2 linked regions of the Struthio camelus genome follow. The protein of the gene in region 1 interacts with the protein of each later gene in a biochemical or structural test. Links are inferred from orthologs where the notes say so. Each region holds a gene or a part of one and is shown on either strand. Other genes may lie near its edges.

Evidence for each region.
Region 2: the proteins of FZD7 (region 1) and DVL1 form a complex in vitro, tested with the Homo sapiens proteins (2 studies listed by BioGRID and IntAct, with this or other methods). The link is inferred for Struthio camelus from reciprocal best matches to the Homo sapiens genes FZD7 and DVL1.

Annotation. Positions count from the first base shown.
Region 1 is NC_090947.1:10,064,566-10,079,409, reverse strand, and holds FZD7 (frizzled-7), read left to right. Parts: upstream 1-8,977; coding exon 8,978-10,696; 3' UTR 10,697-11,761; downstream 11,762-14,844. UniProt on the Homo sapiens protein: Receptor for Wnt proteins.
Region 2 is NC_090962.1:3,697,725-3,713,046, forward strand, and holds the start of DVL1 (segment polarity protein dishevelled homolog DVL-1), read left to right. Parts: upstream 1-7,263; 5' UTR 7,264-7,490; coding exon 7,491-7,660; intron 7,661-15,322. UniProt on the Homo sapiens protein: Participates in Wnt signaling by binding to the cytoplasmic C-terminus of frizzled family members and transducing the Wnt signal to down-stream effectors. Plays a role both in canonical and non-canonical Wnt signaling.

The sequences.
Region 1 (14,844 bases):
TTGCACTTGAATAGCTACCAGCAGCTGCAATGACAGTTTTTACACCCCAGGCAAAATACTGCCCCTAGAGCAGCGCATCAGTGGCAAGCAGGGTCAGGCCGAGGAAGGCCACCTCTTGCTTTCTCAGCACCACTGCCTACACCGCAGGTCCTGCCGGGGCGCTCGCTCCTCGAGACAGCAGCCAGGCTGCCCCTGCTCAACTTGCAGAGCGCCTCCGCACGCGGCAGAAACAGCGCGGCGCGGCCAGGCACGTGCCGCAGCCTCACCGAGCACAGCGCACGCCTGGCGCTTCCCGTCAGGAAGAAAATATTAACCTGCCAATGCTCATGATTCCCTCAGAATCTGATTTCCAGGAGTTGTAACTTCTGCTCCAGGCAAAACGTCCCTATCTGATTTTAGACAATTTCGAGCAGCACAAGTCTGAACATTTCACAGTACTAAATTATTGATGTTTTCAGATATATTTTGCGTCCCTATAATTTAAAGACATCATTGCTTTTCATAACATCTATTTGAAACTTTTCATATTGTACTGTGGATCTCTGCCTTTTGAAAAAAAAAACACTGTTCAAAGGAGTGACTTCATCGTTAAACCTGTGGCTTTACTGTACGTACGTAGCGGCTGACCAAAACGTGGCTTTAGGACTAGCTATAAGGTGAATAAACTATAATCATCGAAAGAAGATCATCTCACCCCCATACTAGGGTTTGAATGGAAGTCCCATAGCAAAGTGAGACCGACCGTACTTGTGTGAGGAAAGCAAATAAGAAATACAGAGTGAATATTTGAGCTCGGGTGCTGTACGTCTCCCTTTGAGGTGCTGAGAGTTTTCAGCTTCCTCCAAACTCAGAGGGATGATCTGTGGGAGCAACGAGAGCAGGACCTGCTATTTTTAGAAGTCAGGAGTGAAACCATCTACCACATCAAGCACATAAGAATTTGGCAGCAAATTAGGATTTGAGAGCTCTGAGTACCTCCCCAGACTGAGCCTGTGGATTACAAAAGATCATAACCATGTCTTAAGTCATGAGCATGTCCTCAGTGTTTTAAATCTCTGTTTTTAAAAATGCGACGAAAAGGAGGAAGATTATTAAATACAAATAGACACACGTTCACAAAATGAAGCTGAATCTCTGTTGCTCTGAAGTCTAGCCAAAGAATGAATTGTAACCAAGGCCCAAGACAACGCAGGGGCTGCAAATGCCATGCTGATATTAGAATGAATCCAGAACAGAATTTCAGACGGTACTTTGAATTTCCCAGCTTTGGTAGGTGCAAACCAGACATATGATATTATTTCTTTTTAGCCCGTATGAGAAAATGTTACACGAAGCTGAAATCTATTTCAGACAGCAGTGTTTCTTTAGCAGAATGCGATTTCTCTGATGCATTGCTTTGCTCCATATGCTTCTAATTATTGCTCAATTCAAACAGCTCTTTCTGCATTGCGTTGCAGGAATCTCAGAAGGCACCTTCTACGTAGGCAAGAAGCATAGCACATAAATAATTTCAAAAAGTATTAAAGAGGGGAAGCTTCATAGCTTTTCATTCCAATCTGACTATGTGGTATTTAAATAAACCTCTGTGGCTTTCCAGTAACATAGTAGGAACTCCCAGGTGGCAGGGCTGGGGGAAGAGAGGGAGGAGAGCACTAAACATACTAATGAACATGTAATTAAGAAAATGGGCCCTCGTTCCCTTCAGAGACTCTGTGAGGAGGGAGATTATTTAAAGTGCTGCTTTCTGGTTCCCCTTCCTCCATGGAAGGAAATCAGCTTAATATCTCCAGTGCCACCCCACACCATTGTTCCCCGCTCCAAACAGGTTCAGTCAATGAAGGCTGACACCGAGGTTGAAATTATAGTTTCAAAATGACTGGTTAAAGGAAAGGTAAAAGAGGAGTGTGATGCTGGTGCACAAACCTAGGGGCCCCAGTTTCTCAGCAGAGCTGTCTGTAGTCCCTGGCATTGGCTTTTCCTCAGCAGTGTTGCACCACTGGAACGAGCTGCTGCTCACCGTCACCCGGGGTGCTCCCAAAAAGGGTAATCCTCAGCCTGGGGCAGCACCCTGGCCCAGGCTGCTCTCTGGGGCTGGGGTACAGGGAGCCAGAAGGAGCCCCATGCAGCAAACCTCTGTGTGGCCTTACACCCGCAAACCACCATGGCAAGTGGGTCTGCAGGGCATGACTGGGACCAAGGGAAGAAAGAAACAATTCTGTTTAAGAGTTTAATTGTAATTGCAAAGCCAAAGGGTTAATTTGTGTAAGCCCATCAGGAAGAGGGAAAATAAAAGTAATTAAAATGTTTGTTTCTCTTTCCAATCCAATTTTGGAAGTGGAGTCAGTTAAGGAAATTTCACCCTAAACAGAGGATGGGAGCAGTGATTGGTAATTTAAGCATTCATGGGAGGAGGAGGGAGGATTTTGTAAACAAAGGCTTAGGAATTCCTCAGCCTCTTTAGACATCTGGCAAATTCTGTATTGAATAACAGCTCTACTTCCCTTGTTTTCTGAGCTTTGGAAACAACATATTTCTGGAGGCTGCACTCATCTTTAGTGAGTCTTAATCAAGCAAAGATAAACCATTTGTTTGAACATCAGGCAGTGGCTTCCTGCCAAAATGATTGTCAGATGGCAGAACCACGTCCCAAGAGAAATGGCAATAGTCTCATTATTCAAGGCATTTAAAATCAGACTAATCAAACCACTAGAATGCATAATAGCAGGGACTAAGTGATCCAATGGGTCTTCCCCATCTCTTATTCTGGGCTAAATCCAGTTCCTCTTATTACACGAACAGACTTGGAGGCTTTGGTGAGTATCTTGCCCCGTTTTCATTGAACCAAATGAAAACTCACCCATTAACTCAAGTAGGACAAGTGCAAGTCTTCAGGCTGTGCATTAGAAGGTTTTAAAATATAACCTCAAATAAATGACACTACAAAAAGATAAAATTAAAACAAGGTGGGGGATAAATGACAAAAGACATAGCACAATGCATTTGACTATTGCATGTTAAGGGCACGTTTAGAGGGCATCAGTTGGTAACCAGTCACTAAGTCCTCACCGACCTTGGAGCTGTGGGAAACAAAACGTAGTTCAGTGTTCATAAGTAGTATGGCACCATCCGCAATGAGTTGGGAAGTTTAAGTACAAACTTGGGAAACTTGGATGTTTTTTATTGTTCTATGTTGCATACCTCAGCCAGCTTTATGTTGTCAGAGCTATGTGCAAAAAAGCCCCTGGATAAGAGATTTAAGTCACCTTACTGGCAACTATGCAAATGGGAGCAGCTATACAGAATTGGCTGGCCAGAACTAGTTTTCTCTAGCTTTTCTGCAGGAAGCCAGACTTTGGAACAGTGCTGCCGTTCCTTCAAGAAGGACGTAGAAATCACATGTTAGCACTTGTCTTTGGCCGTAGAGCCTCAAAAGCTGAAAGGGAATTTACAAAAGGGGGAATCACAGAAGGAATAATACCACTGGGTTTTGGAGGAAAAGGGATATCTGTGACAGAGAGCCCAGAAAACGGTCAAGGAATTTGGCTTTCAGAGAAAAAAAGCTGATCTACAATGTGGAAGAGTACTCTAGAGGAATATAGTCCTGGGAAGGGGAGCTTGAACCACAAGAAGACACTGGCTGAATTCCTGAAAAACATTCCACGGTGGTGAGAGCAAGCAGGGGAGGGTATATATATGTTTTGTTTGGATCTGTGATAGTTTTGGGGTTATAAAGTAAAGAATAACTCTGCGAGAGACCTTTGCCGACCTGTGAGTCATTTATCACAAGAGCTGGGAGAAGCTCATGATAAGCTAGAGCACCCAGAGGCTGGGCCTTCAGCAGTGTCAGCGTAAAGGCAGCTGGCCCAGAAGCCTCGGGCAGCCAGACCCCAAGACGCTCAGCCAGAGGCGCTGCCTAGGACCCTACGTTACACATCTCAGGGCATCAGCCAAAACCTGCCACGGCAGTCTGGGAAGGGTCCGAGCACTTCGCTGTGACAGATCACCTTTCATGACTTAAAGAATCAGAAAGTAAGTTTGCATGTGACTATGCAACATCCAGATCCTCAGAGCACAGATGGAAAGGGAACAGCAGACATGAATGTCACTTTTTCCCACTGTCTCTGGAGGCTTCCCTTCTTCATGCTATGATACCAGTGCACCCAGACAGAATGATGACAGGGCCTGGCAGACAATACTGCTGCTAGCAGAGAATTTGTCTTGTTAAAAAAGTACCTAGATACAAAATAGAAAATAAAATAGAGAGGAATGGCCTGCATCTAATACCAAAGGGCCTCTGCAACCCAGAAAATTGTAAGAAAGCAGATAAAAATCACTTTAAAGAACAGGGGAATCCAAAGTGTCATGCAAGGGTTAAAATGTAACTAATGCCCTCACTGAACTGCTGAGTGGGGATGAGTAGATAACTTCAGGTTTTGTTTTCTTATTCATGGATCACAGAGATGAAAGCAATTATCAGCCTGATAGCCCATCTTGGTAAATGTTTCCTAATGTTTTGTCCAATTTCATGGTAAATGGGGAAGGCAGTGGAGCTTCCACTGCATCCTTTGGGATACTACTTCATAAGCTAATAATTATCTTACAAATCCATGATGCAACCAGCTCCTACCTCTCTCACTGTGGGAAGCCACATCCCCTCCAGCAGAATCCCCTTCCTTTTGTCACCTGTGCCCTCCCCATCTGCTCTCTTCAATCAGTTTCTTATGTCTTCAGTCTAATTTGAAATTAAGCCTCCATGGTGGGGCACAGGGACTTCCCTTCCCCACTCCTCCCTTGTGAAATACTAGACTTCTCTGGCAAACTTAAAAAATATGCAGTTCAGAGTAATCTATCATACTGACAGACATGCAAGCAGATATAATATCTGCGAACTTATTTTATTTTTAATTATGCAAATCTTTATGTAAAATAGGCAAACCCATCATATCCCCCCCTAAGGCTTCTGGCCTATCCCCACAAAGCTTGAGGTAGTGCAAATGTTGATGCTCTTTGCTCAATAGCCTGCCTGATCATGTAAGATTTTATGCAAATATGCTTCAAAATGTTAAGGTTGAAAGTGTCATAGAAGTTATTTACTAAATTTAAACGTTACAAGTCCTACAATTCAGCTGGTTGCATCTGGGGCTTTGGCAACTAAGTTAGCAATAAGGCCATTGAGGGCCCTCAGACAGCATGTTTCTGCAAATAATCTTAAAAAGTTCACCCTCAGGCATACAGAACAACTATTGACTGATGGGGTGGGGAGAGGGTGTTTTGTTTTGATTTCCTTTCCTGCCATGGGAAAAGTTTTGTATCAGATGGGATAAAAAACAAGGAAAGCGACACTAGCAATGCTTTAAAACAGGAGGAAAAGGCATCACATTGGGACACTCCTCTTCACTTAGACTTAGCTTGGAGGTAGAACTGGATTTATTTTTAAATGTGTAAAAAGACAGGTAACTGTTTGCTCCTAAGAACTCCTCCCTATGTACAGCACTTCCCAGACAGCTCCAGAGTTGGTACCAATATCTGAGGCGGTAGGTTCATTCTGATACCCTGGACTTATCAGTGTTTTGCTCTTGAAGGTTTATTGCTGGCAGACAAGAGGCAATGCAGGATATTCAGAACAGTAGCAGTTGGGAGATTTTCAGGGAAAGCATCTTGAACTCCTATGTGGTTGCAAAAGGCAATTTCTCAGAAGCTGCAAAATCCTGTGCAGCACATTTGTCCTATGGGGCCAATAACCTGGCGAATGCTAGCTGCTTACACTTACTTGCTGATGAGAATCCCTCCTGTTGTGAGGAAATTTAAGTAATTTTGCAGACTAAACATGTGAATTCAGATTGAGGTAAAAACAGGAGACAAGCACAAGTTTGCTCTCATTTGAAACATGGCTGATGCTAGTTATAGTTATGAATATTTTGGGGTAACCTGCAATGCAGAATCCTGGGGTTTGCTGTTGCTTTGCGGTGTGCCTCCCCCCCAAAAAAAACTGTCAATATGCCCTAGACTGACTTGGCAGCCTGAGCTTTTCTTAGGCCACAATCCACCATTCTGAGACTGCTGTCTACTCTCTCAGTGGTTGTTTCCCAGTGGGTCTATGTTTGCAGGAAAAAAAAAACTGGAATTGGGTAACAAGCCCAAGAGACTTTCTTCCTCCATCCTGTTGCTCATTCCTACCATCTGGAATGGCCTAGCAGTGTCATTACACATGATAAGCTTCTCTTCTTATCTCACCAAGAAATAATTTAAGATGCAGCTTTCCCTCCATCTTCCTTTCTGCTTACCCTTAAAGGTCATTTTTTCTTTTGCTGTACTCTGATTCCACATTATCAACATAAACGTAATGGAGTCATATAGCTTTTATAGCAGGTACCAGAACTCCCAGTTGTCTTTTCTTTCTTACCATGGTTTGGAGGAATGACTCTAATGAATGGGCCTGGTAGAAAACAAGGGGAATCACTGGTGCCATGTGCAACGTTACAGTCTTGCCACTTGATTTGACATTCCTTATTCTGAATAAGTTCTGCCACTGCCTCCATATTACTGAAACCTAATTTCCTGTAGGAAAAGATGCTCTCTTGCAATACTGTTCTACCAGCTGTGAATCTCTCTCCCATATACGGAAATCAGAAGGGGCAATGCATGGGGCAGAAAGTCTGCAGTTAGTTGCCTTTCTCTGCATTGTCATTGCATGCCAGTGAAACATTTCCTTTCAGCCAACGTTTTTCATAGTGAATATTACAAAATGCTTTGCAGATGAAGTCAGTCATATATGCCAAAGAGAATAATAAAGGCTTTAAGGTGATTATTAAAGATAGGTGACTCAGTGGCTCATGGGGTGTTACAGAAAGATGGGATAGGGAAAAAAAAATGAAAAGAATAATCTTTTAAAACGTTACTGACAACCAAAGAGCAAATAATACAGTAGACAAGTTCACGTAAGCTTCTACTAAGGGAGATCATTTAGGCGAAGCATATCAGAAAAACCTGCTTAGTCACTAGCTTTACAACAGTAAGTTATTCAGGAAATGAACCTTACCAAGCTGAAAAACTGAAATGTCTCTAAGGTGCCCTCAAACAACTATAACTGAGAATGAAGAAAGGATTTATTTGTACTCCAGAAACAGCTGTTACAACCTGGAATAGCTAATCCTGCCACATACGTATTTTGGAGAGCAGAGTATTATTTTTAAAAACATGTCCACTTTTAGAGGAGCACATTTATTCTAGTAAGCCCATTTATAACTGTCAACTTCTCTTGACAAACACAACAAAAGCTAAAGCTCCATGGTCTTACTGGTATGAGGACCTGCTGTTCAGGAGCAGGAGAGGATACGGGAAACATTTGTGCAACAATTGCTGTTTGAGCTCCCTGAGCCAAACTCTGCTCTCTTGAACTGCTCTATGGGGTGATATAGAGTGGTGCATTTGCTTAGTCACTCCAATGAGCACAATCCAGAGTAAAAGAGATTTGGATAGTATGGAGTTTGGATATAGCTCAGGAGACCTCCATCCTCAAAGGGAGGGATCGAGCGAGTGAATAAACCTTGGCTCCAGAGTCTCTGTCCAGAGGTCCTCAAAGGTCAGGGCTAAGGGAAAAGCAGTCGCCCTTGCAGGACTCCTCTTGAGAACATAATCCTTTTTTGTGCTGCTGAAGATCCTCTCTTTACCTGTACGACCCTGCAGCAGCAGGACGGCTCCAGCAGCCCATGTTTCGGCGGTGCACCTCAAAATACAACTATGCTGCAAAAACCACACTTCTGGCCTTAGCACAGGCACGCTGGCCTAGCTCTAGATCTGCTCAGCATCGCTCGGCACGCCGATGCCACCCCTCTCCTGTCCTACGGCACGCTCTCTCTCCGAGCCAGCCTGGCTCCACACGGGAACTGCTGCTTTTCAATGACCTTTTGGAGTCTCTTAATGGGGTTGCACCAGCACACATGTGGATCTAAAATTTCTCCTTGCTTAGGTAACACTGGACTTTTTCAGAAAAAGCTGCCTTCCTCTAGCTAAAGCTTAGATCCGCATGAACAAAGCGTGTATTCTGCCACTAAAAAACCAACGGCCAGGCCGTGATAACAACTCAAACCGCGCAGGCGGGGAGGCGAGGGCGCCCAGGCGCTGACATCCCGACAACGCTCCCGCCCGCCCCCCCGGCGGCCGGACTCGGGCACGACTCTCTGCTGTCGCTAATAACTCTGGGCACAGGCAGCTGTTTGCATTTGCCGAGCCTGCTCGGCAATCGGCGCAGTAATTTTAGCTCGCTCGCTCGCTCGCTCGGCCCCCCCGAGCGCGCTCCCGGCCCCGCCGCCCCCGCTCGGCCGCGCACAACTTTTTCTCAACTTTTTTCCCCCAGCCCCCGCCCCGCCCCGCCCCTCCGCGCTGGCGGCGGGCGGGCGCGGGGATTGGCGGGCGGGCCGCCCCCGGCCCCGCCCCCGGCGCGGTTTGTGAATGGGCCCGGCGGGGGCGGGGCCCGCACGTATATGTGCTGCTGTGGGCGCCGCGCGGGCGGGACGGCGGCGCGGGCGGGCGGTGTCGGTGCGTCGCAGCCGCGGGCGCGGAGCGGCGGCGGCCCCGGACGCGCAGCCCGGAGCGGAGCCCGTCGGGAGCGGAGCTGCGGGGCGGATCGCGCAGCGGATCGCGCAGTAATTGGATTTTAAAAGTTCTTTAAGCCCCCGAGTAAAATACACGGATCAGCCGGGCGAAGTCCTAATCCGTTTAACTGTAACGCAAATCCCGGGCTCCCGGGGCCGAGCAGCCAGGCGGGCAGCGGAGCCAGCGCGTCGCCGCCGCCGGACCCTGCGCGGGGCTGGCGAGAGACTCCGCCAGGTTGGTGCATCTCGCGTTTCGCCTCCGGAAACTTTCCGCGGGGGCCGCCGGGCAGCGCCCCGAGCGGCGGAGCGCCCCGGCCGGCGCGGCGGAAGGGGCCCGGCGCCGCCCATGCCCCTGGGCCTTTGAGCCCCCCGGCGCCGCGGCGATGCGCGGCGGAGGCGCCGCGGCGGGCGGCGGCGGCGGCTGCCGCTGGCTGCGCCTGGCCGCGCTGCTGGGCGCCCTGCTGGGGCCCCTCGCGGGCGCGGCGGCGCAGCAGTACCACGGCGAGAAGGGCATCTCGGTGCCGGACCACGGCTTCTGCCAGCCCATCTCCATCCCGCTGTGCACGGATATCGCCTACAACCAGACCATCCTGCCCAACCTGCTGGGCCACACGAACCAGGAGGACGCGGGGCTGGAGGTGCACCAGTTCTACCCGCTGGTCAAGGTGCAGTGCTCGGCCGAGCTCAAGTTCTTCCTGTGCTCCATGTACGCGCCGGTGTGCACGGTGCTGGAGCAGGCCATCCCGCCGTGCCGCTCCCTGTGCGAGCGGGCCCGCCAGGGCTGCGAGGCCCTCATGAACAAGTTCGGCTTCCAGTGGCCCGAGCGGCTCCGCTGCGAGAACTTCCCCGTCCACGGCGCCGGCGAGATCTGCGTGGGGCAGAACACGTCGGACGCGCCGGCCGGCCCCGGCGGCGGGGCGGGCAGGGGTGCCACGGCCCACCCCACAGCGGGCTACCTCCCGGACTTCCTCACCCCGCCGCAGTCCCCCGCTGGCTTCTCCTTCTCCTGCCCCCGGCAGCTCAAGGTGCCCCCCTACTTGGGCTACCGCTTCCTGGGGGAAAGGGACTGCGGGGCCCCCTGTGAGCCAGCCCGGCCCAACGGGCTGATGTACTTCAAGGAGGCGGAGGTGCGGTTTGCCCGGCTGTGGGTGGGCGTATGGTCTGTGCTCTGCTGCGCCTCTACCCTCTTCACCGTGCTCACCTACTTGGTGGACATGCGTCGTTTCAGCTACCCAGAGCGGCCCATCATCTTCCTCTCAGGCTGCTACTTCATGGTGGCAGTGGCCTATGCGGCAGGCTTCTTGCTGGAGGAGCGTGTGGTATGCCTGGAGCGCTTCTCTGAGGATGGCTACCGCACTGTGGCCCAGGGCACAAAGAAAGAAGGTTGCACCATCCTCTTCATGATCCTCTACTTCTTTGGTATGGCCAGCTCCATCTGGTGGGTCATCCTGTCCCTCACTTGGTTCTTGGCTGCTGGCATGAAGTGGGGCCATGAAGCCATTGAGGCCAACTCCCAGTACTTCCACCTTGCTGCTTGGGCTGTGCCTGCTGTCAAAACAATCACTATCTTGGCCATGGGGCAGGTGGATGGGGACGTGCTCAGTGGGGTGTGTTACGTAGGTATCTACAGCGTGGACTCCCTGCGAGGCTTTGTCCTGGCACCTTTGTTTGTGTACCTGTTCATCGGCACTTCCTTCTTGCTTGCTGGCTTTGTGTCCCTGTTCCGCATCCGAACCATCATGAAGCATGACGGCACCAAGACAGAGAAACTGGAGAAGCTGATGGTGCGCATTGGTGTCTTCAGTGTCCTGTACACAGTGCCTGCCACCATTGTCCTGGCGTGCTATTTCTATGAGCAGGCTTTCCGTGGCACCTGGGAGAAGACGTGGCTCCTCCAGACCTGCAAATCCTATGCTGTGCCCTGTCCCAGCCACTTTGCCCCTATGAGCCCTGACTTCACTGTCTTCATGATCAAGTACCTCATGACCATGATTGTTGGTATCACAACTGGCTTCTGGATCTGGTCTGGCAAAACCCTTCAGTCCTGGCGACGCTTCTACCACAGACTCAGCACTGGCAGCAAGGGAGAGACAGCAGTATGAGACCCTCCTGCCCCCTCTGCATGCACACACACATACACACACACACACACACACACAGAAGAGGGATACTCAGCAGAAGGGAGGTGATGGCTCCCCAAAGGAGGAGGAAAGGGAGGCTTTCTAAAACTTTTGCTTCCTCCCAGGGGGAAAAAGAATCTTTGCATAAAGGACCAGATGCCCTGTGTCCAAGGGTGCTTATGCCCAGCTAATTGGAAGAGCACAGAAAAGGGTTCTCAGGCCACTGGTGGGGTGGGAGAGTCCTTTACCTGCAAGAAGTTCCCATTACCTCTTCCCTATGCGGGGGGTGGGGGGGGCCTCAAAACGTCCTGCCTTGCTTTGGATGAGACAGGAGAGAGGGAAAGCCACATCCATTGAGCAGCCCCTGCCAAGAAGTAGCCAAACTATCTCTGAATTCCTGAGGTCAAATTGCAGCTCTCGCAGGGTAACTTCAGAGCCCTAGGTTACTGTCTGCTCATTGAACCACAGTGGAGCAATCACGTGAGTACTGTACAACAAGCTGCCAGTCCAGATCGTGTGCTGTTGAGATGCCTCTACTCTGTCAGCTTAGGAGTTTTTTTTTTCCCCTCAGTGATACCTGTTTTCATTATTTTAAAGTGAAAAGTCTGCCTTGAGTGTGTTATTCTTGCTGCTGTGGAGGAAGGAGGGGGTTGCTATTCCACACCCTGAAAAGAAATGACTTGTTGCTTTTCAGCAGAAGGCTTTTCCCCCTTGCCTTTGTTATAGGAGACAAAGGGGGAAACAAAAGTGTTTTCTATGTAGAAAGGCATAAGCATGGGATCGCTTTTTATGGGCAAACTAACAAAAAGAAGTCGTTGAGGTTCACCCTTGGATGTGAGGAGCTCACAGAAATAAACATTCCTTTTATGAAAAAGGAGGAGGCAGGATGTTTTCGTACTGTTCGGTATGGGTTGCTTTTCTAAGCTGGAGGAAATGCAAAGCTTAAAAGAGAGGGAAAGAGCATAACTGAGAGCACCTGCCAAAACAAGACCTATTAAAATATGTAAGATAAAGATGTTTCTCTTCCCCCCCCCCCCACCTTCGTTCTAGTAAACCTGCTTTCTCTCCTGTTTTGCAGTGAGATTGCTGCAGGTAAAGTCGATAGGCAGCTGGGCGCTGGGGACAGGGAGAATACTTTTTGCTCATGATGGACAAATTTGCCAGCTCCTCCGATTCCCTGAACCACATAACGATGACTCGTGGAGCAGGAGAGGGCTGGGGGCAGCTGGGTTTTGGTTTTAAAAAGAAAGCAGTTACTATGAGCAACCTTTTCATTTTTATCTAAAAATACAGCAGTTTAAGCTTCCACTGATCACATCTTGGAAGGAAAGACATTCAAAAATTAATCATCAGATGCAGCATTTTTTTTGAAATGTGACAATTTTCTATTAAAATTTTATGTTGACTCTTTCATATTTTATTTTTAAATACTACTCTACCTTTATATTCACTGAAAGGTTTGTTTTTATAAATATATGTGTGTGTGTATATATTTTCTTGCCTATGGACAAAATAGGAAATTGTGGATTTTTAGCAAGTCTCCACCCTATAGCTGCTGTTCATTTTTTTTTTTTTGGGGGGGGGGAAGTGTCTGGAATTAAACTAAAAAGGAAAAAAATATTCCAGGTGAGGGGGCAGACTACTGCTGTCTGAAGGCAAACCAGTAGTCTGGGTATGAGGAACAGCCCAACAGCCAAATCCTTCAGTCTGTCTGTTCTCAGACTTGTAGGGCTTGGGTTTTTGTCTTTTATAATGTGCACGTGGAAAAAAAAAACTGTAAGACAAGTGCAGTATGTATATTTTGTAAATTTCATTTTTGTAAGAAAATATGTATTTATGTTTTTACTTGATTTTTTTGGAAGGTCTGTATGAGGCCCTGCTTCATCCCATGTACAGATCACTAAATAAATAATTTTTAATACAAGGGCTCCAATGCAGTTCTTTTAGTCTCTGAACACTTGGATGTTCCCCTTCTGTCACGTTCAGAGTCCCTCCCTCTTCTCCCCCCCCCACCAAAGGCTTTGCTGTGGGAGAAGGAGGAGACTTTGGGGTAAATACACAACTGAGGAGAAACTCTGTGTGACTTGAAACTAGCATTTCTGAAGTAATGGCCCCTAACCAAAGATCACATTTTGAGGCTGTTTTAAATGCATGTTTGCCCTCACTTGAGGTACCTGCATCCTAGCCAAGTTTTATTCCAGGCTCTGCCTCTTGCTGAGGGCAAGCTGATAAACCAGTTTCCTTATCTATAAAATAAGGATAATGCTCTTTTCCCATGCCAAAGGGGCGTTGAGATTGGGAACTGGAGGGTGCTGCAAGTGCTATAAATTAAATCACAGGTTTGCTGGTGGAGTGTTTTAGGGGAAAAACAAGGCCCTTTTCAATAGCTACCATGGGGCAGTGTTTTGAACTGGCTTTTTTTTTTTTCCTTAGCTCTTTCACTATCTCCAGTTTTGCTCAGGTGAATTTTACTTTAATCTTAATAGCTGCCTGAAGCCTATGTTCTTTCTTACCACAGTAATCTGAAAGCTGATAGCGTCAATTGAATGGTCCTATTTTATTTCATTTTTAACTGAAATGAATGTTTAGATTCCAAGATGTGTTGCTGCCATCAGGGACAGTGCCACAGCAGACAGAATTTTACACCTGTGAAATGTGGATCACTGCCAGCTTTCCTCTTGTAATTTCTGGCTATTTACTGGGTTTGTCACCCTCCCTTTGCTTTCAGACATAGCTATAGTGAAAAATCAGTTGCAAAGTAGAGAATGAGGATGCTGTAGCTGGATGCCATCATGGTAGCTTTGGTTGCATGACCCTGCAATGTTATTTTATTTACCTGAACACTGCAATAGCTGCACTTTCTTTTAGGACACTTATAACAACCATTTACATTTAAGGTGTGTGAAATACTGACTTAAAGTTACTTTCAGAGCTACCCCATTCAGTGCTGCCTCTCCATAAAAGCCACCTCTTCCCCTTTAAAACCTCTCTAGCTGCTCCCCAGAATCTTTCACTTGTCAAATTTCCTTTCTAAAAGGCCTTTGCTTTCCCGCAAGTCAGGCTGCTTCAAACTGCTCTGTGACATGAGCTCACCGATAATTGCTGAGGGTGGTTTCACTCCACTCGCTTAGGAAATCTAAACCTTTCTCTAAACATTTCCTCCCACTAATCCTCACTGGGGGCTGAAGCAGCTGCACCGGCCAGCGCGGAGAGCTGGGGAGCCCACAGGGAGCCCGCGGGAGCACGAGGGTGACTGATGCCCCTGTGCTGCTAGAGAGGCAATTATTCCTGAAGGCCTTGTGGACAGCTAAGCTTGCAATTCATGCAGGCTGCCTGTCTCCCTGCTCCTCAGTCCACTTGCATCTAGTCCACGTCTTCTCTACTTGGATGAGAAACTGCATTTAGGTGTGATAGCTATTTTTTGTCTGTACGTGGAAAAAACTTAAATAGACCTTTTTTGTGTGTGTAGTTCACATGAGACATTCCTATCTGAAAGGAAATGTCTCCATTTCAACCCGAAACCACTAAAGTTGAATGCTTTTATTTTAATATTTTATATTAAGGACTTCTGGATTTAAAGTCACTTATACAAAGCTATCCCAACCCTGAGATCGAACTTGTTTTTTTACATCTGAGCTTGTAGGTGACATTTGATGCTGACATAAAGTAAAAGCAATTGCTATTAACTTTTAAGCAAATGTGACTCGCATCAAGATTGAATTTGCTCGCAGTGGAAACAATCTGGAGAATTTCAAGTAGTGATAGTGCCTGGCCTTCTGGAATAAAAATCTCTATCACTATTCTGATAATGAAGTAGCACTAACTGTTATAATGGAGTACAATTTAAAAAACCCTTTGTGAAGCAATCTGGAAAACAGGAGGAAAAACAAACCTTTGCTAATCACTGTGAAACAATTTTTCTTCAATTAATCTTTAAGTTTACTTTCAGTTAGCATTTTTTTAAAGTTTAAGAAAAGTTTTGTACCCCCTACCTTCGGCCCTTTTGTATGCTGCATTTTTTGCAACACAGACGACCTTAGCAAGTAATGGTTATCATTGAAAAATATCCCTGTAATTGTAGGGGGTATACCATGTTTTCATGAAAAATATATAACATTTACTGTTTGGTT
Region 2 (15,322 bases), on another chromosome or scaffold:
AGCACCATGCCACAGAAAATTTCTTCAAATTATACTGTTGATGCTGGGAACCAGAGATGCCAGCGTTTTGCTGGACTCAGATGACACGTGTTGGATAGGATCTCTATATTTGTTCATTGTTGGGGAAATATGGAGCTCAAGGGTAGTTTTCTGTAAGCTAAAAAAAAATACAAATGCAGTGTTCGCAGGCCTGCATATTTCTACTCATCTGACATGATGCACATACAAACTGCCCAATTCCTCCTTAAATCCAGCATGGCGGTTTTTTTTTCCTTACACAGGTGAGGGAGCCTGCAGAAAGGGCATCTGCGATTACGCAGTTATCTTGAAGAGTGAGTTCTTACTGTGCAGCCTTAGCCAGTCCTGGGGCGGTCATTAATGCTTTAAGGACTATTCCTTTATGCTGGTACAGTGGGTCTCTCCTGGCAGTCTCCAGACCAGGCACTGTTGGTTATTTGATACTAGGACCTCTTGTTACTTCTCTCTGTTTCTGTAGGCAATGGGTCTGATGTTCAAGGAAAGCAGCTGGGAACAAGGAAAAGCTAATTTAGCAACCACAGATCCTGCTCCACAGCCCTCTGAAATTAAATATTTTCATTGCCTTCAACTTGTCTGAAATGAAGTCCAGATTGTTCCTGTTTTCTCTCTGCCTCCCAAACTGGGAAGAGAGTTTTGGCAGTGGAGGGAGAGTTGCTAGTCATTAACAGAAGAAACTTCTGAGGGGAAGAAGAAACAATGGGGTCCTGGCAGAAGTCAGATAAAGATCCGAATAGACATTCCTAAGCAAAAACCCACTGTTCCCTTGAGGTCAAGTTTCTAAATGCATACGTGGCCCCTGAAGTTTGCCGATCAGCTGCTTGGAAAACAATTGCCACGAGGAAGTTTTCCAAGCCTGGCTCTCTCCATTTAAGCAAGTGCTGCAGCTAGTAAGAAGAGGTAGGAGGATCAGAAAATGGCTGTGGAGAGAAAATAGATTGAGCCATGATGAGTAGGAGCTGGGATGGACCTACTGAACTCATTGGTGAGATGTGCATCTCACAAAAATATTTGAAAGTGCTTGGCTGTGCTGAAAGTGCATGTGTGCAATAGTGACTGATTTTCCATGCTTACTGCTAAGAGGACTTTAGAAAAAGTGTGGGAGCGTTGAGTTTTCAGAGGGGGTATACTGACGTTCTAACCCACAGCGTCTTGCTTACGTGCGTTAGCAACAAATGAGGTCTTAGCTAGAAGGTGTCACCTCTTCCTTCCACCAGAAGGAAACTGGTGAAGGAAACTTCCATGGAAACTTCCTTTTGAAGGAAACTGGTGAAGGAAACTTCCATGGAAACTTCCTTTTGAAGACTTAACCTACAGCAAACACATGATGGAGAAAAAGGTATTTCACCAAAACCAGCTTGATATCACTCATTGATTTGATGGGCTGCTTTGGAGCTGTGTTCAGGAGAGCCTTCTCAAGCAGAAATTACAGTAACTTCAAAAGGAGATTTTTTTTTTTTTTTTCTGCAGAACTGCCTCCCTGGCACATGAACAGTAAACTGATTGGGCTGGGTTTTCATTTTCTTGCTACTGTCATTGCTTCCAGTTCTTCTGGCTTCTAAAACCCAAAATGTACCTTTCCAAGTCAGACATCATGGTTCGGATGATGGCAATTTTGGACAGTGATGAATGTAGCAGAAACACTGCAAAGCTTTCAGAAACACAGCACAGGAATGGATTAGATGATTAACTGGTGCTTAAAGCACTTTCAGTGATTAGATCATTAAAGATCCTCTAACACCTACTGCAAGAGATGTATCTTTATAGTTAGAGCTCATATCTCGGATTCGCACCAACTTTCATCTGTTCTGACAGCTTGTGTTACCCTTTGCAACGTTTTACTTCTTTGCTGACTCTTCTCCACTGTTTTGATCGTTGCTTTAGACTATTAAAGTACAATTGTGTTCCAAACAGAAGAAGCAGCATTTCTGCATTTGTTAGATTGACGCCATTCTATGCCAGTACCTGATTTTCGCTTGAGGTTTGCTGTTGCTGAGAGACACTGAAAGGACAGGAACATAGTTCATTCAGAGTCTGCTAGTTCTTCCATCGTTATAACTCCCTGCAACAGGACTGAGATGCATCAAATTTTTGGAAGCAGTAACTGAACAGTCATCAATAGATCTGGGTTAGATGGAAAAGGAAGACTGAAATCAGAAGAGATGCTCTTCATTCCTCTGAATCCTTAGAGTTGTGTGCATCTGTTGACATTGTTGGTAAATGTTTTGCCTTACAAGCCTCTCGTTTCTTTTCAGCAGTCCCTGTGGAGCGACAACATGAATGTTGTCCTTTATTCTTCTCTCTTCCCCTCCCTTATGAAATACAACAGTGCCTCATTCCTACAGACCTGTAGAATAATATCCCTGTATAAAACACACATTGCTCAGAAATGCCGCTGAAAATACCCACTCTCATTTTCCCCCCGATTTATATTTGAATCCAGTGGCAATGAAAGCCCTGGGGAGCTTTGCCAAGAAGTCTGGAGAGCTGGCTTGCTGAACTGCAACGCTTTTGCTTCCCTCTAGCGGTTATGTCTTTATTTTCTTGTAAACTAGGCAAGACTGAGCTCTGCCATGACCTGACTGTGCCCAAGGTCTGTTGTGCAGAGAGGGAGTTTAAGAGGAAAAAAGCATGTAGGCCTGTTAGACCAGATCCATAAGCGGTGTAAACTGACTTGCATTGCATCCTGCTGATATATAACAGTTTAGGATCCAGCCTACAGCATCTTCATTTTAAGTAAATCAAAACTGTTTGCAGTTACGTCTTTCTACTTCTCTTTCTTGTTTAGGATCATTTCCATGTTTAATTCTCATTCTGCATTGGAGCTAATCTTGCCTATGTGAATGGGTGTGCCGAAAGTCTTCATGCAGGGCCCAGTGAAACTCGTGACCTCTAAAGAGAGGGAATAGGTTGGCTAACAATTCCTTTGTGGTTCATTCCGGTACCAACTTCTGATAAATCCCTTTAAAGATAAAAGTCTAGAATCCTTTTCCCCTGTTACTTCTGAGCAATGATAACTTTGGAGAAAAAAAACAGGGAATACAAAGATTAGACCTACTGATGGGACTCAATACTTTGGTAACCTGGAATTTGTGTCTGTACATCATTACTGTGATTCCAGTCTGGAAGGAATCTTCTCTGGCTAATTGGTGGCCTCAGTTTTGTTTCTAATGCTACTAGTCCATATTATGGCCTCCTTGTTTGTACCATCAGCCCTACAAGTGGCTACAAGTGGCAAGGATAGCTGGCAGTGGAATGATGAGAAGCTTGCATGGATGCTAGCCACAATGATCCTGCTGTGTTGCTGAAACAAATGAAAACCAAAGTCAATTTCCCAGGGTTGACCATCCAAATGAAAGTACTCCCAGTCAAACCTGATTTCATTGTTAGGAGTGGCAAAACTGCCAGTGACTGGCCCTTGAGAAGAAATGATCCTCCGTGTGAAAGATGATTTTGTTCTTTCACAAATACTTTCTTGTGGATGGTTAAAAAATACCCATGAAATCTCAGAGTGGGTCCAAGTTACAGCTTTGGTGAATGTCAGAGTGCTCAGAGCTTTGGTTTTCTTTTTGTCCCATCTCTGAAGCAAATGCTTATTTGTTAAGCACCCAGAATGCAATGAGCTTTTTGAATACACAGGCAACTCTCATCACTGTAATTCCAAGGTCAGGTTTTTAAAAAGGCTTGGTTATTCTCTGTCTGGTAATGAAGTGCAGTGCTATATAACCGAAGAAAGGGGCGAGCAGCTTTTATGCCTCAGGACATTTTCTACTCCCTGCAGGGGTCAGCAAGACTATTTTCTCTATCGTGGAGAGCACTGCACTAATAGCTAGAGATTTTATGCTTTATTTTGATTTTCCACTGAAGTGTTAAGCACTGAACTCTGCAAGAAGCAAGATATTAGCCCTGATGGACCAGTGGTTTGCTAAGGTGGCAAATTCTGCATTCCTATGTATGCTCTTTAATTGGATTAGCTTGTGGTTTGATTGTAACATGAAAGTGGGTTACCTCCTCACAAAAAGATTTCTGTATCCCCATAAAGAACTTAAGTGAGTCATAGATCCAGCCTCATCATGCCTGTTCTGAGGTAGTCATCTGACAATTCTACAACTCATTATATTTTCAGTTGTCAAAAGTGAAGGCAAAGCTAGTAGAGCAAGAACAGAGTTCTTTGCAGGTTTAGTCTTTGTGCAGATACCACCTGGGTCTCTGAGGAATTCAGGAGGTCATTAAGTGCCAACAGAAGACACTAAGGGATTGGATTTAATACTTTCCCTGGGTTTGTTATTGAAAAGTCTACAGAAAACTCAGTATCTCAGGGAAATACAGCTCGTACTAAAGTTATGTTATTGTCCTGCCAAATGAGGCCTTCCCCATCTTGCTCAGAGATTAATGTGTGTGGTAATATTGCTGGATTCACGGCATATTTTCTATATTAAGAGTATTCTCAAATGCTAGCAGAACCACAGCATGTGCCTGTGCACACATGCAGGACAGAAATTTGAATGCATAATATTACAGAAATCTTCAGTACTTGATGCCTCACTCTATCAAAATTCCAAAATGGAAGCAGTGAGAAATGACTAACCATCAATTGCTTAACCTTGGGATGCTGAAGTGGAATACTGTATCAGAAAGTGAACACTCAGCCACTCCTGGAAAATACTCTTTGAAGAGTATTGTGAAGAGTGTGTGTGGGAGAGAGAAAATACTCTTTGAAGAGTTGTGAATTGGTCATTCACAACTTAAGACAGTACCCTACCACTAGTTACATGATTAAGATTAATGCCATACCTTTACTTCGCTGTATATTGTATCTTGTTAAATGATTATACAAGCGTCCAGGTTCAGCAACAATGAGTGGTATGAATGTCAACAGATAGGCAGATCACTAGAGCTGGAGAACTGCAATGAATGTGATTTTTGTAATTGCTTCACTATACCAGAAATGACAGCAGGTAGCTGATGTTGTTATTTTGCTTTCTCAATATTGTCAAATCTTGTCACGTTGAGTGGTGGATTAACAATGCCATTGGTAGACCTGTACCGAGATCTGTCTCTGCATGGGATAATTTGGTTCTGGAAGTAGTAAAGCAGCATTCATGTGGCAGTGTGCAATATGGATGTGTTATTCCTGGTCAGTATCTGTGAAGTGATTTTTGTGTTGGCAGTCAACAGTGACATCAGCCTGTTTCTTTTTTTTTTTTTTCCCCCTCCTTTATATCCTTATAGTATGTTTGTATGGCTTCATTTACAAATGGTTTATATGAACTCATTTACAAATGGTTATATGAACTCTGGATTTGTTTTATCCGGATTATTTCAGTATCCCCCATTAGTCTGAGTAGTTAATAATTTGCTGATCTCCAAGTCTCTAAGAGCATCAATATCTTCTTGACAAGTATGCTGAGGAATAATTATAAGTCCAAAAAATAAGTAAATGTCTTTCATTCTTGATTACTCTTGTGCCCTCTACTGTTTGGTTCTCTGTCAGCCCAGTGGTAGCTGCATTTCAGTACCTACAATTGTGCAAATATGCCTGACCCATCTGCACTTGCTGCAGAGGGAGAAAAGAATGTTCAAATAGCAGTCTTTTTATTCTTGCACTTCCAGATTGGGCCCTTTCCTTTTAAAACACCGCAGAATGACTGGTGTAATGTGAGATACGGGGTAGCATTTGCAACAGCGATTAAGGCAACAGACTCATGATTCATGTTTAAAGTTGGAGCTGGGAACTGACAATGAATAAACTTTCAGAAACTTCAAAATAATAAATAATGATAATGTTAACAAACCTTTTGGCAGCAGCTAACACAATTGGCTCCTTTGTTTCATGCTGGTAGAAAAATCATTCCAGTGTCACAGGTAATTCAATCGCTGAGCTGTGATTTACTCTTTTAAAGAAAGCAGCTGTATATTCTGAGAAGTGAACATCCTCTTTATTTATTTCATTTTGGGGGGTTTCTAAAAAGATGGGTGGACTCTTCCCAAATATATCAATTGCAAAACATGGATCTTTTTTCTGGACTGGGTGCTCCAAAAGCACAGCCGTCTCACCTGAGCATGGAACAGTGATTCTTCTGCTGTTCTATGAAATTCAAGAGATGATAGGTCTAAAGTTGCTCCATGCCAAGCACCTCAATGGGGTCTGTGCCCAGCAGGCTTCTACTGAAGCAACTATTAAAGGCAATTATTTTTGAGCCACAAATATGTCACTGCTGTCTTATTAGCATCAACTGTCCTGTGACAAATTTCATGATCTGCAGAGAACCCATGAGTTCATTGCTTAAACAGACCCCATCTTAATTCTCTTGAAATACAAAGGGGCATTAGTGGCACCATAGGCCTGCTGGACGCAGGGAATCCACATTCTCAAGACACCTGAAATACAATAATCTGCCTATCATTATAGTTCAGAAGTAATGTTAGTCAGTTTTACGCCCCAACCACGTCTCATATAATACGTTGGAAAGAAGCCACCGAGTCTTGTTAAGGGCCACTGAGTTGGAATATAAAGCTTTACTGGATTGAATACATGTATTCAATGTACCTCATTTTTCCTGCTTTGTAATTGAATAATAATACTGACCAGATCTGTGCAGTGGCCTAGAGGTCTTTACCTGGAAAGTATTTACTAATTCCTAGAAACAAAAAATAATAAAGGAAAGAGCTGTAAGGACACTAATAATATTTGTATGACCCCTTGGGAACATTTGCTGGGGCACCAAGCATTTTTATTAGGCCAAAGCCTGCGGTGCTTGTAAAAACAGAGCCTCTCTTGCGCGTCGCACTCGGATGAAGCACTGCCAACATCAGAAGTCCCTGAAACAGTATCTATCTGTGCGTCTAAGCGGTTCGAATTTGAAAAATGACGTTTGCTTCAAGGAGCAAGGGCGCAGCACCCTTGCTCTTGTTAGCTGTTGCCTTGGACTAGACGGCGCGGTGCGATGCAGTTGCTAAAATCAGCCCTGTCTTCCCACGTCACGCGCTCTCCCTCCGACGGGCGGGCAGAAACGCCGTGACTGCTGCCTGTTAGCCGGCCGCGGCCCGGGCGGAGCGGGGGCAGCCGCGCGGCGAGCGTGCCCGGGGCACGCGGGGGCGGCGGCGCCTCGCGCTCGGCCGCGGCGCCCCCCCGCCGCCGCCCCCCCGCGGCGGCCGCCCCCCCGGCGATGGGGCGCCGCGGCGGGGCGCGTGGCCCGCGGCGGCCGCCGAGCGCGCCGGGGGGCGGCGGGCGGCGAGCTGCCGTTCCCGCGTCGGGCAGCTAGAGAGCAGTGCAGGGAGCGAAATCCCGGCCGTGGAGCCCCTGCGCGGCGGCGGCCGGGCGCTGGGAGCTCCCTTCCTGTCTGGGGCGGCTCTGGGCTGGAGGCTGCGACGGACCGAGAGGCGGCGGAGAGCCGGAGCCGTCTGCCCTCTGCTCTGCGCCGCGCCGCGCCTCTCCCCTCCTCCCCTCGCCCATGGCGGAGACTAAAATAATCTACCATATAGACGAAGAGGAAACCCCTTATCTGGTGAAACTGCCCGTCCCTCCGGAAAAAGTCACTTTGGCTGATTTTAAAAATGTCCTCAGCAACCGGCCTGTGCACAGCTACAAATTCTTCTTTAAATCCATGGACCAGGATTTCGGGTGAGTTGCCGCTCGCAAATGCCGTGCGGGAAGGGGATTCGCGTCCCTTTCTGCCTCTCCTGCCTTCGCCCTTTCCCGGTGACCACCGAGGGGAGGTGTTGGAGCCTCCCTCAGTCCCCAAACAGAAGAGCACCTGCTTTGATGGCCGCGGGCGGCTGCCGTGCGCCCTGGCTTTCAACTTGAATCCCCCGTGTGTGCGTGCACGCGTGGGGAGGTCGCGCGGGCCGGGCCGGGGCGCTCGGCGGGCTGGCGGCGGCGGCGGGGAGCCGGGGCGGCCCGGGGCCCGCGGGGAGGGCGCGGCCCAGCCGCCCTCGCGCCGCGCACTGCGGCGCCCGCTCCGCGCTAGGCCCCGGCCGCCGCCGCCGCCGCCGGGGGGAGCGGCGGGAGCCGCCGCTAAAATGGCGGCCCGGCCCAGAGAGCGGCGGGACCCGGGGGACGGCGCCGCCGCTGCCGCCGCGGGACGGGCGCTGGGCAGCGTCCTTGTCCGCGCCGGGCGGCCCCCCGCTGCGCCCGGTGCGCAGGCCGGCGCCTCTCCTTCCCCCGCAGCCGGCGCCGAGGGAGGCAGGAGCTCCGCGGCCCGCCGGGGCTGCGGCCGGGGGCCAACGGCAGCCCGGGAGGCCGGTCCCCGGCGGCGGGGAGCTGGGGGCAGGCCCAAAGCAGCAGCTCTGGGGCTGCGGAGTCCGGCGCACGCCGCCGGCGCCGACAGCTCTGCAGCTGGATCCCCCCTCGCCCCCGCCGTGGTAAGGCATCTCAACTTGTTTTTCCGTAACTCCTCAGATTTCGAGCCTGCCTGGCAAGATGGGTGATTAATGGAGAGGGCTGGGTTCCTCCAGCCGCTCCCTCCCCGCCCTGCCCTTCCCGGTTGGTGCCGTGCAGGAGCATAACATCTGGCACGGAGTTTTTGGCAGCCTCTAGTCGTAACTGTCACCGTGTTGGGGCAAGGCCTCGACCCTTCTCTAAGAAACGCTTCACTGGGGCAAGGATGTTCTGAAGAGCTGAGGAGAATCAGGCTGAGGGTGTATTGAAAGGTTAAGCCTTCTGCAAGTGCGGAAATGCCTGCCTGAAAATTTAGTTGCTTTTCTGGATCTGCATTCGCACACAGTTGATCATACTAGTAGTGTGAAACGAGCAATTATTGAAATGATAACTTCGTTGAAGGACCTGCTGATAACGTGTTCTGCTTTATTCACCACTGATAACATGTTCTGCTTATCAGCAAGGCAGAAGACAAGGGACCAGACTTTCAAATGCCCTTTGTGATCGTCTAGGCCCTGTTCCTGACTAGAGTTAGGAGATACTTGACATCATTCTAGTTTACACACAAAAATATGGGTTTCATGCCGCCAGTCTTATTTATGCTTGTAGTAAAACAAACCAATGAAAATACATTTGACAGTTTGCCAGAAAGTAATTTTCAAAACATATTTATCCCTTTGTAGTAAATCACTTCTCTTTGTACTCACATCTGTCACTGGCAAGACAATCTTTACATATTAAGTGCCTTGCCAGAAAAAAGAGAGCAGATTTGGGAAAAGTAATATGGACCTGATGATAAAATAACACTGTGATTAACGTATGAATGTAATGTTTGGTGAAATATGTTGTCCCGAGTGTCCTTTTACATGTTAGGTAGACTTTTTCTTTTCTCTTACTTCAGGCACGAGACCTGAAGCCTTTAACTGATCATTGTTTCTTTATCCATGATGGAATGTGGATATTGTTTTGTTGACACGTATTTCTTAAGTGTCGAGTTGTTAATATTGGCGTGTTATTGCATTGACTTGTTTTAGTGGGTTGTGGAAACATTCTGGGAGAAACAACTACAGGAACTGCTTGTTTTCAGAATAAAGCCTTTGGAACTGTCTAGTCATAATTTTTTTCTCCTGCACCCTCAAGTGACAGGGCACATGCCCTGCAGCAGTCTTAAAATTCCAGCTATGAGTTTTTATGGAGCTACCTCAATAAAGGATGTTGGATTTATTGAGACAGCATGGACATTCGCACCCACCACTACAAACAATTACTGCTGGAAAGGACATGAACTGTGCTAAGACATGTTGAAGTGTAACAGGGATATCTCCAACACGTTCTGGGCTCTTTTTGGTCTTTGACCAGGTAACAAGGTTAGTAACACAGATTCTGCAGTGGATTTTCTTGTTAGTCCCAAAACCAGGGTGAAAGCTATCTCTTCTTGCCTTATCATGGAAATGGAGATGTTGGAAGATGAAGAGTTGCAAATGGATGATTAGGCTTAGGGCCTGTAAATTCTATTTCCCTTATTTATACAGCGGTCTTAAATATGACTGTGCAGCACTCCTGGTGTTTAAAGCATTGTCTGTGAGGAGGGTGGCTGTGCTTAAGTTTGTGATGCATTCAAATAGTGTGGAATTGGATGTGAACTGGATCAGTAGCAAATAGAGATGTGTAATCATTTGCCTAAAAAAAGGACAAGCTCTGGGGAAAACTTCATAGAGTGTTGGCAGATGAACACGTAACTGTGGGGTATGTGAAAACGTGAATTTGCAGCTAGCTAGTTGCTTTGTGGTAATTGCTTGTGTTTATCCTTTATGCCACAATACAGCTCCAGCAAACATAAAGTAGTTATCCATTGTTGAAAAGGGGATGCTGCTTCATCTTCATGGGAGGGTGCATACCACTGAGCAGTTACCATAAATCTGTAGAAGATGATGAGCTGTACATTCATGCTGGGCTTACCTGGGCATACAGAGCTTACCTAGTTTTTAGGTCCATCCCCTGCACATAACAATTAATAAAATTTGGAAAAGGTTGCATGGGTTAGTAATACCACAGGACTGAAGAAACTGATAATCTGAACTAAAAATTTTATTTATTTATTTTTTACAGTAGCATTAGGGGCTGCTATGGGACGGCATGCTTTGATCAGAAGTTATTACTGGCCTTAAAAAAGGGATCACTGGAAGGTATTCAGTAGCCTATAATAGACAGGAGGTCCATGTTGTCATTAAAAGCTATGAAAAGATATGGCTGGTAAATTAAAAGCTAGAGAGAATTGTGATCCTGCTATATGTTTAATCCTATGTAACAGGAATTTAACCCCAATATTGCTTATGTACCCTCACCTGACATGCTGTTAAATGCCTATATGCAAACATATATAACTTCAATTTGCAAGATATATGCTGTATTTCAGGGCCCACCATAGGAGTACAAGTGTGAAAAGAAAATTAGCTTCAGTATTGGGCCCTGTATTACCTAAAGATTTTCCTCTAAACTATAAAAATAAACAAAGCCCTACTTTTTCTCCCTGAGCATTTATTCTGTCTCTCAAGTACAGACATTTGCTTGTTTGTTTTCTTTTCTGTTAATCATCTGATTGCAAGCTGAGGAGCCAGAGCACCTGCTGCTGACAATAGGGAATCCCTATCTGGTCTTTGTTCTCCTTTTTTTTTAAACGAAATTAGAGCTATATTGCACGAGTGTTTTGTTAAAAAGCTCTCTGCAATATTTTCAGGGGTGAAAATACTAAGTTTGTCTTTTAAACCCTTTACTAAAAGCCTCCAAAAGTCTAACAACACACAAACTGGTGATAGATGTGCTCATTCGTGCAGATTGGGTTTTAAGATTGGTGCCTATATGTAAACATAAATGACATTTCTACTCACTTTATTTTGCAACTGAGCTGTGAAACACCATAAAATTGCATTTGTAATTTAAAAAAAAAGCTGATGCACCATTAAACAGTGCTAACAATAACACAGTCACATCACAGTTCTTTTTCCTTCCATGACTGTTGGATGTAATCAGGGCTTGGGATGCCATAGACCCAGGAGTGCTGTGTCTTTCTCCCCTTTTGTTCTTTCTGGGCTCTTCTAGCTTTGTATTACACCACCTTCCTGTGATGGGCTCTTTTCTTCAATTCCTGTGAAAAACAGCTGTGTTCAAACTGAAGGTGTGCTTTATGACCAGGGCTATCCATGAGGGTATCTTTATGAGTTTTTTAATCAGCTATAATGTTATATCACTGTCCAAGTAAGAGTGGGTATGCCTGATTTTCAAAACGACCCATGTGGACATAACACAATCCTATCCTGCAGGCCTTTTTTCTGAACCCGAACTCAGAGGTCACTATAAATTTGGGCCCAATGTCTTCTGTGTAAATATGGTGTCTGCTGTATGCTGAAGGCCTTTTTGTGAAGCACATGTTTACTTAATGGCATGTCAGAATAATTCCACTACCCTGAACAGGTCATCTTATGTGTAGAATTTATGCTTTAATTAGTAATTCTGGAGATGATGCAGCTTGCCTCTTGAGGAAAAAAGATGAAGTGACAGATTAAAACAACCTCATTTCTGTTATTAATTTGTCTCTCTCCCCATTCTGTTAGTATTGACCATCTCTTTATTCTGGCCTCCTATTAACTTAGGCAGTGTTGCTATGAGGGCCTTCTCTATATCTTCTCTGATGTGTACAGCCTTTCTTGTTTCTTCCACTTTACGGGCTCATTTCCTTTGTATCAAATCTTGCCAACTTCAGTATTTCATCTTTTTTGTTTGTAGCTGTTCTCTCTCTCTCTCTCTCTCTCTCTTCTCTCTCTCTCTCTCTCTCTCTCTCTTTCTCTGCTCTGTAACTTAATTATGTAATTGTGATAGCTGACATAGTTACGCAGAGTATTTTGAAAGGTTGTACTACTGAGTCCATTGGGGTGGGAATTCGTTGTCTTGAGATAGCTAGAAAAAACTTTATAGCTAGTGATTCTTGTAAGCCAATAAGCCAACTGTGAGATTTGCCTAGCCGTTAAACCAGTTTTTTGTTCCTCTCTCCCTAATTTTCACAAGAAATTATGATTATCAATCAGAAGAAAACTAATGTGAATCGTGGCCATCTTAGTAAGTGTTATAGTAAATATAGGATGGTGTTGATAATCTTGTCTTCAAACTGACATGTTTTTGTTGTTGTTGCAAATAGGGAATTATAGCTGCAGTGGCCGCTAACCATAACAAAACTATGTATCTAATTTCTCCCTTATGTGCCTGAAAATGTCCCCCAAATAAGAATTTTTTTCTATCTTCTGTAAGTGGTACTTAGACCTAAATTACAGTAACGTTTTGGTTTTAAATGTAGCGTGCGTTCTGTAGTTCCAGTCTTCTGTTCCTCACATTGCTGCTCCGTGGCTGCGCAGAACTATAATTTGGCATGTTGACTGCCACTTGGCAGGGCGGTTTTTAAATCCCAATATGGAGTGAAAAGTAGTTCTTGTGTTAGGAAAGCAAATATTTTCCTGCAGAAGTGGAGCCTCCTTGAGAAGCCAGTGATGAGGAACTGACTTTGCAATACTGCACATATTTTTTTAATTAAGGCACAGCCTTTCCTGGATCCTGAAATAATGTAATAAATAATTGTGTTCAGAAACAGTGTATGCATTGAACTGTTTCCAACTGTGAAAGATCAGAGTTCCTTAGAATTGGAGCGGAGATGGATTTGGGGCACAGAGCCATACCAGGCTCTGCTATGAAAATGAAGCAGTTACGTATTTTGTATACTTGTGTTGACCAACCAGTCTGCATTCACCTTTGCTTCTTGGAAAGAGCAGGAGAAGAATGTTACAGGAATGGTGTATTTCTTTCTGAACTTCAGTTACATTGTAGTTTACCACTATGCCTTGCAGTGTTAATGTTGTACTGTCGGTAAAGCTGTAGAAAATAGATGTAATGTGGACCTCTGTCTTCATTTTCCTGACAGTGTTACTGTGATATAGAAATACTTTTTTCTGTGCCGTTTCCTTCTTGATGGTGACTTCTACACTAACTCTTGATAGTGTGGACCTGTCTGTCTTCTGAATGCACAGGCTTTCCTACTGAATTTATGTGGGTATGATGTGTTGTCTTTAATATGCAGGATGTTTAACTGTGTTCAAACTTAAAGGCTCAACCTTTGTCAGTGGTTTGTAGCTTCTATTTTTCTTCTAGTCAGTGGCAGATTAAGATGGGACATTACGAGATCACATTATAGAATGTGGTAGTATCCACCAAGAATAGATTTAGAGAAGGTGCTATTTGTGATATGTCTTGGAGAAAAGGGGGATTGTCATCAGCTGACATAGTTGCTTATAGCAATTGATTCTCTTCTCTCAGGGGAAGAGCTTAGAGATTACTTCCTATCACTGGAGTTGTTGATTCTGGGGTTACAGCCACGCATCCTTGTAATAATCCATGTAATGCAATTTTGTTGATTCTTTGATGATTGAAAAAATGACAAATAACGAGTGCAACTAAAATAAAGCTATAGTTTCTGATGCCTGTGTTCTCATCATCGAAACTCTGACAACTGCATAAGCAGTGTAGAATCTATGCACATTGAATCTGCGTGACTGATCCCGTATTAAGAATTCCTAAACATGCCTTAAATGTTAGGTGTTTCCAGAGCTTTTCTGTATTGTATTATAAAACACTATAAATGACTTCCAAAATGCAAAGCTATAAATGCGTATGCTCCAGGCATTCCCGTCAGTTTTAATTCTGCTATAAAATAGCCTATTTTGAGACTCCGTTCTACTATTTTATCTCTAGTTAGTATAGGATGCTATGCTGTGACATAATTATAATATGAGAGATTCAGAGTAAGAACTATCCCATCTCAAATACATTGCTTGGGCCAAGTTCTCTGTACAAAACCTCATTCTGATAAATATACTCCGTAGAGCATTGTTCTGGTTTCCATTGTGCTGTTTAATCAAGATGTGAGTAGAGCAGGAACTACTGATAATGTCTTTCAGTACTGCAGGATAAGAAGAATAAGCTTGTCTTGGGCTCTGTAATCTTCATCCATCAAATACCAGAGTATGTCTATTCTGCTGTCCTTCTGGGTGAGGTTCAAGTCCTCATTCTTTCCATTGTGTGAACCAATACTCTTTTGATTATACTTCTTTAGGGAGTATTTGAGGAGTGGCTTTTTAGGCATTCCTTTGGTATCAGTAACAGAACTTCCTATTAAACTATAGTTTTAGGAGCAGCTGTTTCTTGCACAGAAATTGCTTTTCTTGGTACCTGGTGTATTGAAAACTAGCAAGCAGTTGTGATTTAAAGCTTAGGATTGTGAGCTGAATGGGCAATTTTTTTTACAGAAGAACAATATGGAAGCACTATTTTGTGTTTTTTCTCATGGAGACAATGTACCACGCTCTGTTTTTACACTTGTCCTAAAATAAGTTCTAACTTAGAATAAGGTCTAACTAAAAATGTCTAGCTATGGAGATCTAGAACAACTTCACCACTGAGAAAGTTTTAGAGGAAAGAGATTTAAAACCAAATTATTTTGTGATTTTTTTTTTTTGGAGGTAGAAATAAAAATAGGAGTTAGGTCTATTTGTAAATGAGGCTTAAAAGACTGATGCGCTAAGTGCCATTTGGACATTAGGCGTATATCACGTAGAAAACAGAAAGTTAACATGTTGTATGCACAGAATTCTGCGCTCATTGAATGTAACCACAAAAGCGGTTGTAAAAATCCCACAAGCAAAGGAACATTGGACAAAAATACGGAAGCCTTATTTCTGCCTATTTTCTGTCAATCAGATGCTGTGGCAGTTCTAGACTCTGAGCTAGCCAAACTCAAGAGAAAGCTTTTGGGCAGAGCTCTGTGCTTGGAAAACTGTTCCTGTTCTCATCCAGGGATAAGGCATC